Struthio camelus: one gene and its partner. The protein of the gene in region 1 purifies or fractionates together with the protein of each later gene. This does not show direct contact. Links are inferred from orthologs where the notes say so. Each region holds a gene or a part of one and is shown in the gene's direction. Other genes may lie near its edges.

Region 1 (7,283 bases):
CTTCAAAGTAAACTATTTGCTATGATACTAATAATTCATGGCAATGCATTTTCTTGGTGCTTGATTTCATGAACTGTGCTATAACCAAAGTTAAGTATTACACTGAGGTGCTACATCAATTTACAGCCTAAAAAAATCTGCTTTGCTAATAGTTTTATGGTATATTTTTTCCTTTTTATGATGACAAAAATGAATAACTTGAAACAGAATATATGGTTTTATGTAGCATTCAATTACACTTTAGCAGTATTCAATCCCAATGTTATAAGCAGTTTGTATTTAAATCAGTTTTGCTTGGGGATAATATCTGATATGACATTTCAAGTAATTAGATGATTGCATTGTCTAAAAGATAAATAAAAAGGTAATATTTGTTAATACCGTTCATTGTCTTTTTGTCTCTTTGTTAATAACAATAGGCATATGAATGAGAACAGTGTATTTCTAGCATAACTGAGATACACACGTTCAACAAATTGTTTAGGTAGAAGAGTGAAAGACTGAATTTAGACCTAATCTGAACCACTCAGTAGCTAAAACTGCAGTGTGTTGTTGTTGTTATTGTCTAGGCATTTACATTATTATCTGCTCAGGAGCATCCAAGTTCTGATGCAGGCTGATCATTGCCTTTAACAGATGCTTCCTAACAGAAATACACAATTCTCTCATTCACACTCACAGTTAAAAAGCATCTTTCAACCCAGAGTTCTAACACCTGGTACGCTATGTCTGTTTTTTTGGTATAGGAATGGCCCATGAGTGTATTTCTGGTTTTGGATTTGGGGCATGGATTTTTCTTTAAATGAGAGCCTTTGTTCTTTAAGTTGCATTTTCCTATTTTAGATCCTTTTACTGTTGAAGAAAATTAGCGGTACATCTATCCCTGTTCAGTGTTCGCTTGGTCTGTATGTATCATCACATGATCTGGGTAACTTCAGCTCTTCAATATACCCATCATCACAGCATCTCTGCTACTCGCTCTTTTTTACAGGTAGGAAACAGAATGAAATCATTGTAATTTTCTGTCTACCTGTCAGATGAGAATCTGGCCTTTGGTGACTTGTTCATGATTGCATAAGATGTTTACGGCAGAGCAAAAATTGAAGCAACATCTTCCACGGTTCTTGCTTGCACTGTAACAGCGGTACCTCCCTTCCTCTGCTTAAGTCTTTACAGTTTATAAGTATAAAGAATCTACAGCCTATTTTTAACGTAGAAAGTGTCACCATGGTCTGAATTTAGAGTTTAGGTATGCAGCTGTGGGTGTTCAAATATTTATATATTCCATAAAATGGAAATAAACACCTCAGCAAGATATGTCTGCAGAAATGGTCATCTTTGATGTTTTCAAGGTGTTATTACCACTACTATTTAAGAGAACTTTATCATCTAAAGGAGAAACTGAATTCCATTTGTATAAGTAACATGGAAGCAGGACTAAAATGGAAGAATGATTTCTGACATTGGGAAAGTACCACTTAAAAGAGATCAGCTGTAGGGCTGTTTTGTTTTGTTTTTTTAATTTGCAAAAGTTTATATTTAAAAAGTTACTATAAAGATTTCTGGAGTTATAAAGAGCTCATAAAACAAATGTCTGACCACTATTACAAACCTCTTTTTAAGAGTTTGTGTCCAGAATTTCATCTGTGGAATACATTGTTTTATGTTTTTGGATGATCATGATTTTGGATACAGGAGATACTTGGCTTCTGAGGAGGTAATTCACACTGGACAGAAATAACATAATATGGGAACATCCATCAAAAAATAAATCAGATTTGTTATCTAACATCTAAGAAAACAAATACGTTATGTTCATTTAGAAAGACATCAGAAGATAAATTACAAGAACTTGTTTGGGGTATGATTTTTTAAAGTTAACTTAAAGAACAAAGTGCACTGTATTTACTTGGTCAAAATTACACAGGATGTGATTAGTATGATGTTTGCAATCAACCTGAAAAGAGAAGCATAGTGATGTAAATCTAGATTTGCCAATCCAAGTATTCGATCCAGGTCCTACTGCACCAGAAACAACGTGGTTCAGACTGTAAGTATGTTTAATCGCAAATTTGTTCAAGAATGTTTTTAGCAGTTGCACTAGTAGCCTGGTGAAACATTTAAGGTGAAGACGGTAATACACAATATCATGTCCAGGCTGACAAAACCCGTGGGGAATGCCTGTAAGTTTTGCCAAGTGACTGCAAGACTTGTGGTTTTTTTCTGTTGTAGCAACATGACAGATGGTAGCGAGTCTGTCATTTGCTGTGCTTCCCTGACATCCTTCACTATGAATTAAATGTTGAGGGACAGAAGGGTCTGAGTCGTCTTTTGCACCAATGTATATGTTTATTTGTCATAAATTAGCACCGTGAGACCAGCGGAGTTATTTTAATGGCAAAAGAATCTAGACACAGTGACTGCAAATAGAAATAGTATGAATAAGTAGCTTCTATAAATGTAAAATAACAGGAAATTGTTGAGCAACAGAATCAGGCCATAAGTGTGCATACATATAATTACTTCAAAGATGTTACAAACAGCCCTCTAGTTGTGCCCTACCAGTGTTTTTTTTATCAACAGGTTTCATTAAATGGAACAAATAACAAAACATAATAATTAATTTGTCCTGTCACAGTGGATATTATCTGTCCCATTGCCCCACATACACAGCAGGAGCAGAATCAATTAACTTGACCTATTTACTAAATATATATACAAAGAGAAAAATAATAAAAATAATAAATAAAGAGAAATACAACTGTGCTTTCCTACATAATAATCCATGCAGGAGGCATAGAAACAAGCCAGTGTTTTTCTTTTTAAATAACCAGGCTGCTCAATGACAGCTTTCACAATACTTTAAACTACTACTCCCTTGAGTATGCAATTACCAAAGTATTAATTACATCAGGCAGAATACATCTTTTGCCAGCAGTGCAAGATGCAGAGCACTCTCTGCTGTCATGAGAGCTGTGGATGTGCCTTCTCTGCATCTCTCAGAAGGAGGACAGTCGCCGTCCTGGATAATTACACCCAAGCCAGAAGAAGTGGCCTTCTAATATTTTTACGTGGGTATGTTGCGTTACGCCAATCATGCGCAGCTGGTGTTTCACAGGAATTAGTCTGTTTTTATGCCTTCCATCATGCCAGTGTGCGAAACGCGTTCACCGTTTCTTGTAAAATACTTGTTCAAAGCCGCACAGCAAGCCTGGAGCACGCTACTGCTCTCGGTGCAACCCTCCCTCTCCGGTCAGCGAAGCACCTAAGCTCCCTTGCACCTGAGCGAGGGCGAACCCAAAACGCTGCCTTAAATGGGCTATTCGCATTCTTCTGGAGCAAACACTTGTGGCAGAGTTTGGATTTAGCGAGGTGTCCGTGTGCCGGACGCCCCAGGGAAATCTCCACCTGGAGAACAGCACAGCATGGTGTCTGCTTCTGCAACGACCCCGTTGCCTGCGTAAAGCCCTTCGTTTCTCTTTCCCGGGCTGACATTTTGAGATACCTTTATTCTAATTTTTCCAGTGACACTACCAGACTGGATTAGGATGAACTACAGAATACAATTTTAAGTTTTCCCCCTTTCAAATAGACATATTCTTAAGTGCCATGCCTGAAATCACTGATTTAAAGGAGGGCAAATAATAGAAGCACGCTACCTAACATGTTTTTCCCCCAGTGGAAAGACAGAGATCTCCTCCTGCAACAGGGTATTTCACAAGCTAAGGAACCCGACTCGGCCGCCTCAGGTGTCGCCTGGGCCCGTGCTGCGCTCCCGTGTTTGCCTCCTCTCGGCAGCGCCGGCTGAAACGACACTCAAGTAGGTGACAGCTTTTAAAACACTTTCAGTTGGTGCAAATTCGGAGTTTCACGCCTGAACTATTGGACGCTATTAAAAAGAAACAGGTGGAAGCAAGCCATCCCCTAACGTGCAATAAAAGTATGTTAAATACATGGCCTAAAACCTCGTGAGAAGTCCTTTTAAAGCAAATCCATTTGCCGGAAAGGGGCGCAGGGCCAGCGGGCGGGCCCAGCCCGCTCCCTGCACCGGCATCTCGCTCGGTTTAACCCTCCTCCGCTTCAGCGTTTTGCGTGCGCACCGTGGGGGGGGGGAGGGGGGGGAAACGGCTCTACCGGTCACACGTGAGCGCCAAAGGGCAACAAGGAAAACGTTGTTCGCCACGCAGCGCCCGACGCCGCGCACGCGCCCCAGGGCCGCGGGCACGCGCCCCCCCCCCCGCGCCCTCCCCCGGGGCGGCGCGGCCCCGCCCAGGCGCGCGGGGAGATGACGTCAGGGCGCGGCGGCGGGCCGGCGGCCATGGTGCGCGGCCGCTGAGAGCGGGCGGTGCGGGGCCGAGCGGCAGCGGCGGCGGCAGCATGTCGGGGCCGAGCGCCGTGTCGGACCCCCAGCACCCGGCGCGGCTGCTGCGGGCCCTCAGCTCCTTCCGCGAGGAGAGCCGCTTCTGCGACGCGCACCTGGTGCTGGAGGGGGAGGAGATCCCGGTGCAGAAGAACATCCTGGCGGCCGCCAGCCCCTACATCAGGTGCGGCGGGAGCGGGGCCGCGCGGGACGACGGACGGCCCGGCCCGGCGCCGTGACTCGGCCGGGAGCGGCGGGTGCTGGCGGTGGGGCCCCGCCTGCCCTTGGGCGCCGCCGAAACGCGGCCCCCCCCCCCCCCCGGGCCTTTCTCCCCCCCCCCCCGGCGGCGAGCGGGGCCCCCCTGTCGGCGCTGGGCTCCGCGTCCGCCGGAGGCGCCAAGTGAGGCCGGCGCTTTGGTGGGGGTTTTGTTGTTGTTTGGGTGGGTTTTTTTTTTTAATGAGTGGGTTTTTTTTTCCTTCTAACAACACCTAAGGCTCCAGGCGGTGGTGACGGATTCCGAAATACACCCCGTCTTAAGTGTGAAGAAACTGTACGGGTTTATTCCCCCCCCCCCCCAAAAAAAAAAAAATCTCCTCTTTTTTTTATGCCCTCACAAATACGTGCGAATCTACCTCAGAAACTGCCAGCGGCATCAAGCCAGGTCCGCGCAGGTCCGCGGGCGTCAGCGGCACGTGCGGCCCGAGCCGAGCCAGAGGAGGACCAGCAGCGTTCAGCACAGTCATGGTGCCCCGGGGGCCGGCGCGCCCTTTGCCCTGGGCCGAACTTCCAGGGCAACCCGCTCCCCGGGCAGCGCTGTCGGCTCTCCTGTACGCTCAGCGGTGAAGGCGCCAATGGCGTAAAATAGAAAAAGCATACCCCGGTGGGAAGATTTTCATAGTACGGATCTGAGAGAGTGAATGAAACGTACAGGGGTTGAGTTCCATAGTTTTATTGTTTCTCTTTTTTGATAGGTCTTAGCAATTGCAGGTAATGGAGACTTTAATTTTGCCTTAGCATGTGAAGGACTGCACCCCTCGGTTTTACTTACACCTAGGGTTATCGTAAGACTGTAGCAGACGTCGGCCGTGTAATTCTGCGTGCTTTTAGGCTGTGTGATATTTTTGAGTGATGATTGTAGCAGAGCTTCGACATTCTTAAGTACAAAAATAAACTAGGAATGAATAGAACGTAAAGTTGGTGATTAAGCTTTAAATAGATGTCAGTAATGGACAGGCTTAAAGGAAAGGTTTTCTGATATTTCAAATCTAAGCGCCTGATTTTTCCATAGTACACGGACTAGCGTTATGCATCAGCTAGCAGGGCTGAGGGGTAAAATGAAATAAAATTCACGGAAATAAGAAGAGCAGCAAGGACCTGCAAAATGACACTAAAAAGCTGAAGTACTAGTAGTCATTTTTTCAATTCCTGTCTTGAGAAGCAGTTATGGAAGACTATATTGAAAGGCTAATCAGAGACATGAGGTTGAAATAAATATGAGCAGTTGATCCAGTACTCTTCAAAAATGCCAGAATGTTTTTTAGCTTGTTTTTTGTCATTACGAATCTTTTAGATGGCCCTGCATCATATCTGAAGTTAGTGTCCTAACAAAGACTCCTTGGCTGAGAAAAAAGGTTTGGTTTAGGTGGAAAGAGGCCATGTCTTGGAAAAACTGCTACTTTACTGTAATTATTGTATGGGTTTATATGAACTGTGTAATCTTTTGCTACGAAAAAGGCTACTTAATTAAAAGATATCATAAATTATTCTACAGAAAAGTTCCTTTTCACAGAATCTCCTCTTTAAGTATTGCATTCTGTCATTCACCTCTGAAAAATTTACTAGGAAACCTGAGCTAATAAAGCACACGCGAAGAGTCAGAGTGCCAAACATGACTGTTTTGTTGTTGTCAGTGTAGTTATTAGAGTTGTGGTGTTTTAAACTTAAAATCTTTCAAGTTCAGATGCCATCAAGGAACTCATTAACTATGTGTGAAGTAGGTTACACGTATTGATATATAAATGGGATTTTTTTTTAAGCTTACTCATCTTTTCTCCTTGGGCTTGCAACATGTAGTGAGCCATAAATAACACATACCAGATTTTTTTTTTATGGCATATAAACTCATCTGTCTTACCTATCTTTGCAGAGCCTAGTTTTTACCTGTGCTGCTTGTCTCTCCTCTTTCCACCACTCCAGGATCTCTTTCTTATTCCAGCTGCTCTTTCCATTGAGTAGAATTGGTTGGGTTGGTTGCTGGTATTGGAGAATTAAGTTTCTAAGCCAAAATTAGCATTCCAGTGACTCTTTTTAGAGCCAAAAATCACCGTTAGCCTGTCCCTAGTTTCTGCAAATATTTAGTCCCATTTCTTTTGAGTCTTTTTTTTAATAGAATGAGTGTGTGGTTTTTTTTTTTATTTTTTTAAATCTAAAAAGTTATTAGAGGAGACTCATGAATCTTATGTTGCAGACTAGATGATTCCAAAGCATGCTTTGGTACTTTGGTACCTTGGTACCAAAGCTGTTTAAGTCTCCAAGGTCTGTTTAAGTCTCCAAGTATCAATTGATTTCCGTTGCTTTCATTTGAAAGTTCCAAAATAAAACTCAGAAAATCTAGTAACTAATTTCAGAAATATTATTGGGTGGAGAAATGGGTGGGTATGGGATATTTACCCTTAGCAGTGGAGCAGTGGCAGGACTAGTTGGCGCTCTGCTTTCTGTTTCTGGCTCTGGCTGTGGGCAAGTTGGTGGGCAAGTTGAGAAGCTGTGTAGGGTTTGCATGAACGCTTAGTTTAGGGTGTGAGCGGGAAAATAAGTAAGCATGGGATTTTCTGAGGGGGCGGCTTGGGTGTGAGCAGAGTCTGTACGCTGAGGGATTTGTGTGGCCACAGAGAGAGGAGCGTTACCTGTTTTTTAGTTTTGCATG
Region 2 (6,897 bases), on another chromosome or scaffold:
GCACCCATGTCTGCTCCCCCTGCACCCGTGTCTGTTCCTGCAGCCCTGCCTGCACCCCCTGCACCCCCCCTGCACCCATGTCTGCTCCCCTGCACCCCCCCTGCACCTGCAGCCCTGCCTGCACCCCCCCTGCACCTCCCTGCACCCGTGTCTGCACCCCCCGTAAGCCCCCAACACCTGTGTCTGCACCCACAGCCCTGCCTGCACCCCCAGCACCCGTGTCTGCAACCCCCTGTAACCCCCCCGCAGCCCTATCTGCACCCGCAGCCCTGCCTGCGCCCCCCCACAACCCCCGCTGCACCCGTGTCTGCACCCGTAGCCCTGCCTGCACCCCCCACACCCATGTCTGCACCCGTGTCTGCACCCATATCCTGCCTGAGCACCCCCTGCACCACTGCCTGCACCCCCAGCGGTGTCTGCACCCCCCCAGCCCCCATATCCTGCCTGCACCCGTCTCTGCACCCTACATGCAATCCTGCCTGCAGCCCCACGTGCCCCCACGTGCCCCCACAACCCCACTCGCACCCTGTCCCCCCCCCACAGCCACATCAGGCCATGGGGACAGGAAGGGACGTGAGGGGACAGGGACATGGAGGAATGGGAACGCAAGGGAATGAGGATGGGGGGGCTTGAGGGCATGGGGGGACACGGGGGGATATGGGGACATGGGGGGATGTGGGGCGATATAGGGACACGGGGGGACATGGAGGGAACAGGGATGGGGGGACATGGGATATGGGGACATGGGGGGAACGTGGACATGAGGGGACATGGGGGGATATGGGGACATGGGGGGAACATGGACATGGAGGGACACGGGGGGTCATGGGGAACATGGGGGGATATGGGGACACAGACTGATATGGGGGGACACGGAGGGAACAGGGATTGGGGACATGGGGGGAACATGGACATGGGGGACATGGGGGATAGGGGGACATGGAGGGATAAGGGGGGACACGGAGGGAACAGAGATGGGGGACACGGGAATGGGGACGTGGGAGCACGTGAGATATGGGGACATGGGGGGGATGTGGACACGGGGGGACACGGGGGGATATGAGGACATGGGGGGACGTGGGGAGATATCGGGACATGGGAGGGACACGGCAGGAACAGGGATAGGAGACATGGGGACAGGAGGGGAACGTGGACACGGGGCGACACGGAGGGAAGGGGACGAGGGGAGAGAGGGGGACAGCAGGAGGGTAACGGGGCGGCACGGTGACCCCCCCCCCAGGACCGGCGCTACGCCGAGCTCAAGCCCGGCGAGCTGCCCAGCTGCGAGAGCCTCAAGGACACCATCGCCCGGGCTCTGCCCTTCTGGAACGAGCACATCGTGCCCCAGATCAAGGCCGGCAAGCGGGTGCTCATCGCCGCGCACGGCAACAGCCTCCGCGGCATCGTCAAGCACCTCGAAGGTGGGTGCCAGCCACCCTGCCGGCGGCCCCCGCGGGTGCTGGGTCTCCGTTCCCCCTGCCGCTGAAGGTCAAGGCTATTTCCAGCTCCTCTGGCCTTTCCTCTTTCCCGGCCGGCTCAGGTTTCCCCCCTCCCCGAAGCCGGTTGGGTTGCGTTGGGTTGGGTCAGGTTGGGTTGGGTCGGGTTGCGTTGGGTTGGGTCAGGTTGGGTTGGGTCGGGTTGGGTTGGGTTGGGGGGGGGATCTGGGCGTCCCCACCGACCACCGGCTTGACGCGCACGTCCCTGTCCCCCAACGCCGCGCCGCAGGGATGTCGGACGCGGCCATCATGGAGCTCAACCTGCCCACGGGCATCCCCATCGTCTACGAGCTGGACGCGGCGCTGAAACCCACCAAGCCCATGCAGTTCCTGGGCGACGAGGAGACCGTGCGCAAGGCCATGGAGGCCGTGGCCGCCCAGGGCAAGGTCAAGAAGTGACCGCCCACGAGGGGTGCCCGTGGCCGTGTCCCTGTCCCCCTTTTTCCCCCTTCCCCCTCCCCAAAATAAAGGCTGGCTGGGCCCCACCGCGTCCCACTGTCTGGCTGCCGCTGGGGTGGGCCCACGCGGTGCTCCACTGCTGGGGGGGCTGGGGGAGGTCCCACTGGCTCTCTTGGGGGACTAGGGGGTCCCACTGGCACTATCGGGGGGTTAGGGGGTCCCACTAGGTCTCTTGGGGGGGCTGGAGGGGTCCCATTGGCACTATTGGGGTCTGGGGAGAATCCCACTGGCTCTCTTAGGGGGCTGGGGGGTCCCACTGGCACTATTGGGGGACTGGGGGGTCACACTGGGTCTCTTGGGGACCTGGGGGGGGCTCATTGGCATTATTGGGGGGCTGAGGGATCCCACTGGGTCTCTTAGGGGGGCTGGGGGGTCCCACTGGCACTATCGGGGGGTTAGGGGGTCTCACTAGGTATCTTGGGGGGCTTGGGGGTCCCATTGGCACTATTGGGGGGCTGGAGGGGGACCCATTGGCACTATTGGGGGGGTTGAGGGGGCTGGGGGAGGTCCCATTGGCACTATCAGGGGGCTGGGGGGGTCTCATTGCCATTATTGGGGGCTGGGGGGTCCCACTGGCTCTCTTGGTGGGTCTGGGGGGTCCCATTGCCTCTATTAGGGGCTGGAGGTCCCACTGGCTTTCTTGGGGGGGGCTGGGGGGTCCTATTGTCTCTCTTGTGGGCCTAGGGGGTCCCATTGGCATTATTGGGGGGTTGGGGGAGTCCTACTGGGTCTCTTGGGGGGACTGAGGGGTCCCATTGGCTCTACTGGGAGGCTAGGGGGTCCCACTGGCTCTCTTGGAGGGGCTGGGGGGGTCCCATTGGCTCTATTGAGGGGCTGGGGGGTCCCACTGGCACTATTGGGGGGCTGGGGGGGTCACATTGGGTCTCTTGGGGGCCTGGGGGGTCCCACTGGCACTATTGGGGGGCTGGCGGGGTCACGTTGGGTCTCTTGGGGGGCTGGGGGGTCCCACTGGCACTATTGGGGGGTTAGGGGGTCCCACTAGGTATCTTGGAGGCTGGGGGGGTCCCATTGGCACTATTGGGGGGCTGGGGGGGTCACATTGGGTCTCTTGGGGGGCTGGGGGGTCCCACTGGCACTATTGGGGGGTTAGGGGGTCCCACTACGTATCTTGGAGGCTGGGGGGGTCCCACTGGCACTATTGGGGGGCTGGGGGGGTCACATTGGGTCTCTTGGGGGGCTGGGGGGTCCCACTGGCACTATTGGGGGGCTGGGGGGGTCACATTGGGTCTCTTGGGGGCCTGGGGGGTCCCACTGGCACTATTGGGGGGCTGGCGGGGTCACGTTGGGTCTCTTGGGGGGCTGGGGGGTCCCACTGGCACTATCGGGGGGTTAGGGGGTCCCACTAGGTATCTTGGAGGCTGGGGGGGTCCCATTGGCACTATTGGGGGGCTGGGGGGGGCTCAGGCGGCACTGGGGGGGCTGGGGGGCTCCTGCGGCACTGTGGGGCAGGGCGGGGGGACCCCACGGGCACCGCGGGACCCCGAGGGGTCCATGGGGCCGGAGGAGGGGGGGGGCACTGACCCCTGGGGCCGGGGCCCCGTGGGAGGCGCTGGCCGGGCCTGTCCCCGGGGCACCCGGCACCGCCATTGCCGGCCACGGCGGGCGGCGGGAGGCCCTGGACGGCGGCGGGGGCTCCCGGCTCCCCGGGGGCTCCGCGGGGCGCCATGGGGCCGCGGGGATGGCGGCGGCGACCCCCGACCGCGCCCGCCCGACTGCCCACAACCAAGATGGCGCCTGCCGCCTCGCCTGCCGTCACGTGGGGCGGCGGCGGTCTAGCTCGGCCTCCGCGCTCGCTGCCTCGGAACCTTGCCGCGCGGAGCGGGAGGGCGGGGGGGGGAGAGGAGGGAACGGTTTCCGGACGGGCCGCTGAGGGCGGCGGGCCGCTGGCGGAAGCGCGGGGGGCGCTGTCGGGGGCGGACCGGAAGCGCCCGCCGGGCCCGGTTGCCGTGACAGCGGCGGCGGCGGCGGCGGCGGGGGGGGCGAAGGCCGGAGCCGCCATGGAGGCCGCGGCGGCGCTGACCGACATGTACGACCAAGCGCTGCTCGGCATCCTGCAGCACGTCGGCAACGTGGAGGAGTTCCTGCGCGTCCTCTTCGGCTTCCTCTACCGCAAGACCGACTTCTACCGCCTCCTGCTGCGGCCCGGCGACCGCCTGGGCTTCCCGCCCGGCGCCGCCCAGGCCATGGCCCTCCAGGTACCGGCGGGGCGGCCCCGGGCCTCGCCGCGGCCCCCCGCCCCGGCTCGGCGCCTGAGGGCCCCCGAGAGCGCCCCCCGCCGCGGCCCTGCCCTCCGAGCCGGCCCCGAGGCCTTGGAGGCCTCAGGGTGGCCGGTGGCCTCGGGAGGGTCGGCGGCCGGGCCGGGCTGTCGGGCAGGGAGGCCTGAAGGCCCCGTCGGTTGCTGTTGTCCTTCCCGTTGAGCTTTGCAGGCGTGTTTGCGGAGCGACGGTCCCCGCCGTCTTTGCAGGGGTGGATGTCTCACCCGGTGCTGGAGCCGGAGGGGAGAGGGTGGCTGCCTGGACCTGCCTTGTAGCAGCAGCCTGTGGGGCAAGACCCAGGAAGGTGGGGGACCCCGAGACCAGGAGGCCACACAGTAAAGCTCCAGCTTGCTGCTGCTGCCTAGTATGCTCCTTGCTGTTCCTCAGAGGAGCAGGGGCAAGGTGGGAGAGGTGTCCTGGCAGATTGATGGGGGAGTGGATGGCAAGGATCGCCCTTAACAAGAGGACAAGGAGCCCCAAAGGGCAGGCAGGGCCTGTGAGGCCTTCGCGGGAGGAGCTGGGGCCTGATGCCCTCTCGGAGCTCAGGCAGTGTCGAGGGCAACAGGCGAAGAAGGCAACTGCCAGCAGCACTTTGGGCAAGTGGGGTTCGCTTTAGGGCTCGCCAGATGCTGCTGACCCAAACTGCGGGAGCTGGGGCTCCTGGGTAGCAGGAAAAAGCGAGAAGAGACTGTGGATGTCACGTGGAGGGCAGGGCCTTTTTGCGTTGCTGGTAGCAGTCAGAGAGACGGCAAATGCTCCAAACTCTTGTTTCCACAGCTGAGCTGGGCTGGGCTTGGTATTTTGAAAACTGAGCGCTAGAGGTCTCTGACTCAAGGCTGTCGCAGTCTGTTATTAATCTTTATTAGGAAGGAGGAAAAGGGCTGAGAGAGATGGGGGCCTGGCTTGGTGGAGGTGTTCATCTGCTCAGACTAGGGCTTCTTCCCAGCTCTGGCAGCCCGTGGACACGAAGCGGTGGCAGACAGGCCGATGCGAGACCCCGTTCCCTCTCCCTGCGCCCACCCTGGGGTGGCCCACGGCGGGAGGGAGCCTGTGTCGCCGACCCCCCGGCTGGCGTGTCCCTGTCGCCCAGGGTTGCACCCTGCCGCGGGCCTTTGCCGCTTAGCTGTTGTGGTGGCTCTCACGTTTTCCCCAGGGACTGTTTTGGGCTTGTGTGCAAGGAGGGAGACCACAACGCTGTAACCTAAGTATTTCTCTCCCGAGAGAGATGTTATTTGAGGCTGCCGTTTGCTTGCTCCCTGGCCCTAGCCATGAGGGTCTGGAGTGAAGAGACTGCTCGAGGCATAGGGTGGTGTGGGGTGCTTCAGAGGGACTTTTTGTCCCCTCTCCTGGCTCGGGGCTTTGGCTGTAGCCCGAGGGGAAGGAGATGGGTTTGAGGTGTCACCCTGGGTGATCTGCCTCAGGCTGCTTTGAGCTTCGTTTTTGGTGGCGGGTCAGGGGAAACGGTCTATGAATAGCACGTTTGAGTCATGGCCTGGGATTCCTGTGGAGATGTAAGGTAATGCCGTGCCTTGACCTCTCTCGGGGAGGGCGATATCTCTCCGTTTGGGATATTTGCCCTTTAGACTGATCTTGGCTTCACCCGCTCCTGCCCGGGGTCTGGTCGCAGAGCAGCTGCCGCCCTCGGAGCAGCCGCGGGGCTATTTTCATCAGCTCGCTGCCAGGCTGAGCGGGCGCTGCCGGCGGGGTGGGCGCAGGAAAAAAAGGCTGTGAGCTCGAGAGAAGGAGCTGGGGGTGGGCACTGAGGAAAGCCGGGACACGGAGGAGTGGGGAAAAAGAAAGGGATCTCAAAGGGAGAGGAGTGGGACAAATGTCCATCTCCCTCCTCTCCCTTCTCTCGGGCTGCTTTGTCCCGCAGGCCTCTTCCCTGAGCAGGGAACAAGCTCTGGTTAAGGGGAATAAGGCAGACCCAATGTGACGCTGCGCGTGTCCTGCTGTAACAGCACTCGTGTGAGGCCTCCCCGCACTGCCCCCCCTTGCCTTACAAGTACCGAACACAGAGGAAGAAATCAGATCTGCCGGTGCTGCTGCACGCCCTGGCTGGCCTGGGTGTGCCTGGTCCCCGGCCTAGGATCGGTCTCCTGCGGGAAGCGGAAAGCGCTGAAGTCGGCTCGGAAGTGTTCCCCGGCAGTGTAGGGAAGGGAGCGAGGACTGTATTTGACTCTCGCTTGCTTTCTAGCCCAGGGCGGGTGTTTACCCTGACGAGTTGCACGGTTCTCTGTTGACTGGAAGGAGTTTTAGCTCTGAGGAGGAGGTGGGGGCACAGATCCATAGTCGTCGTACCTCCGTCGGCTTCGGCGCTGCTAGGCTGCTCTGTCCATGTGGCAGATTTGCCTTTTAACCTCCAGCCTGCCCTAGATGGTCACAGCGTCTGCTCTGAACGGCTAGAAGCAAACTTGAGGGTGGAATTATATCTTGTCATACCGTTGCTTCACCTCCCTAAGAAAGAGTGAAGTGTTGGAGTCTGGTACTGTTGCAGGGAGCAGGTGGGCTCAGTTCCCTCTGTGGACCAAACTGAGTTGGCTTATTCGGTTTTGAGGTGTGCTGTGCAAATGCCTGAAATCTGGGGTGAAGCAACAGGGCTCTGCTTTGATGTCCTTTCCCTTGACTCGTTCGGGAGAAAATGCTATCTCCTCGCTGGGGTCAGC

Evidence for each region. Proteins that work in one complex are often made in the same cells at the same time.
Region 2: the proteins of GAN (region 1) and NUDCD3 purify together in Homo sapiens (co-immunoprecipitation; 3 studies listed by BioGRID and IntAct, counting the BioPlex papers as one, with this or other methods). This does not show direct contact. The link is inferred for Struthio camelus from reciprocal best matches to the Homo sapiens genes GAN and NUDCD3.

The regions. Positions count from the first base shown.
Region 1 is NC_090951.1:6,219,739-6,227,021, reverse strand, and holds the start of GAN (gigaxonin), read left to right. Parts: upstream 1-4,281; 5' UTR 4,282-4,377; coding exon 4,378-4,544; intron 4,545-7,283. UniProt on the Homo sapiens protein: Probable cytoskeletal component that directly or indirectly plays an important role in neurofilament architecture.
Region 2 is NC_090968.1:1,537,472-1,544,368, forward strand, and holds the start of NUDCD3 (nudC domain-containing protein 3), read left to right. Parts: upstream 1-3,884; 5' UTR 3,885-3,973; coding exon 3,974-4,171; intron 4,172-6,897. Other genes in the region: PGAM2 (phosphoglycerate mutase 2), read left to right, coding at 1,241-1,421, 1,726-1,895.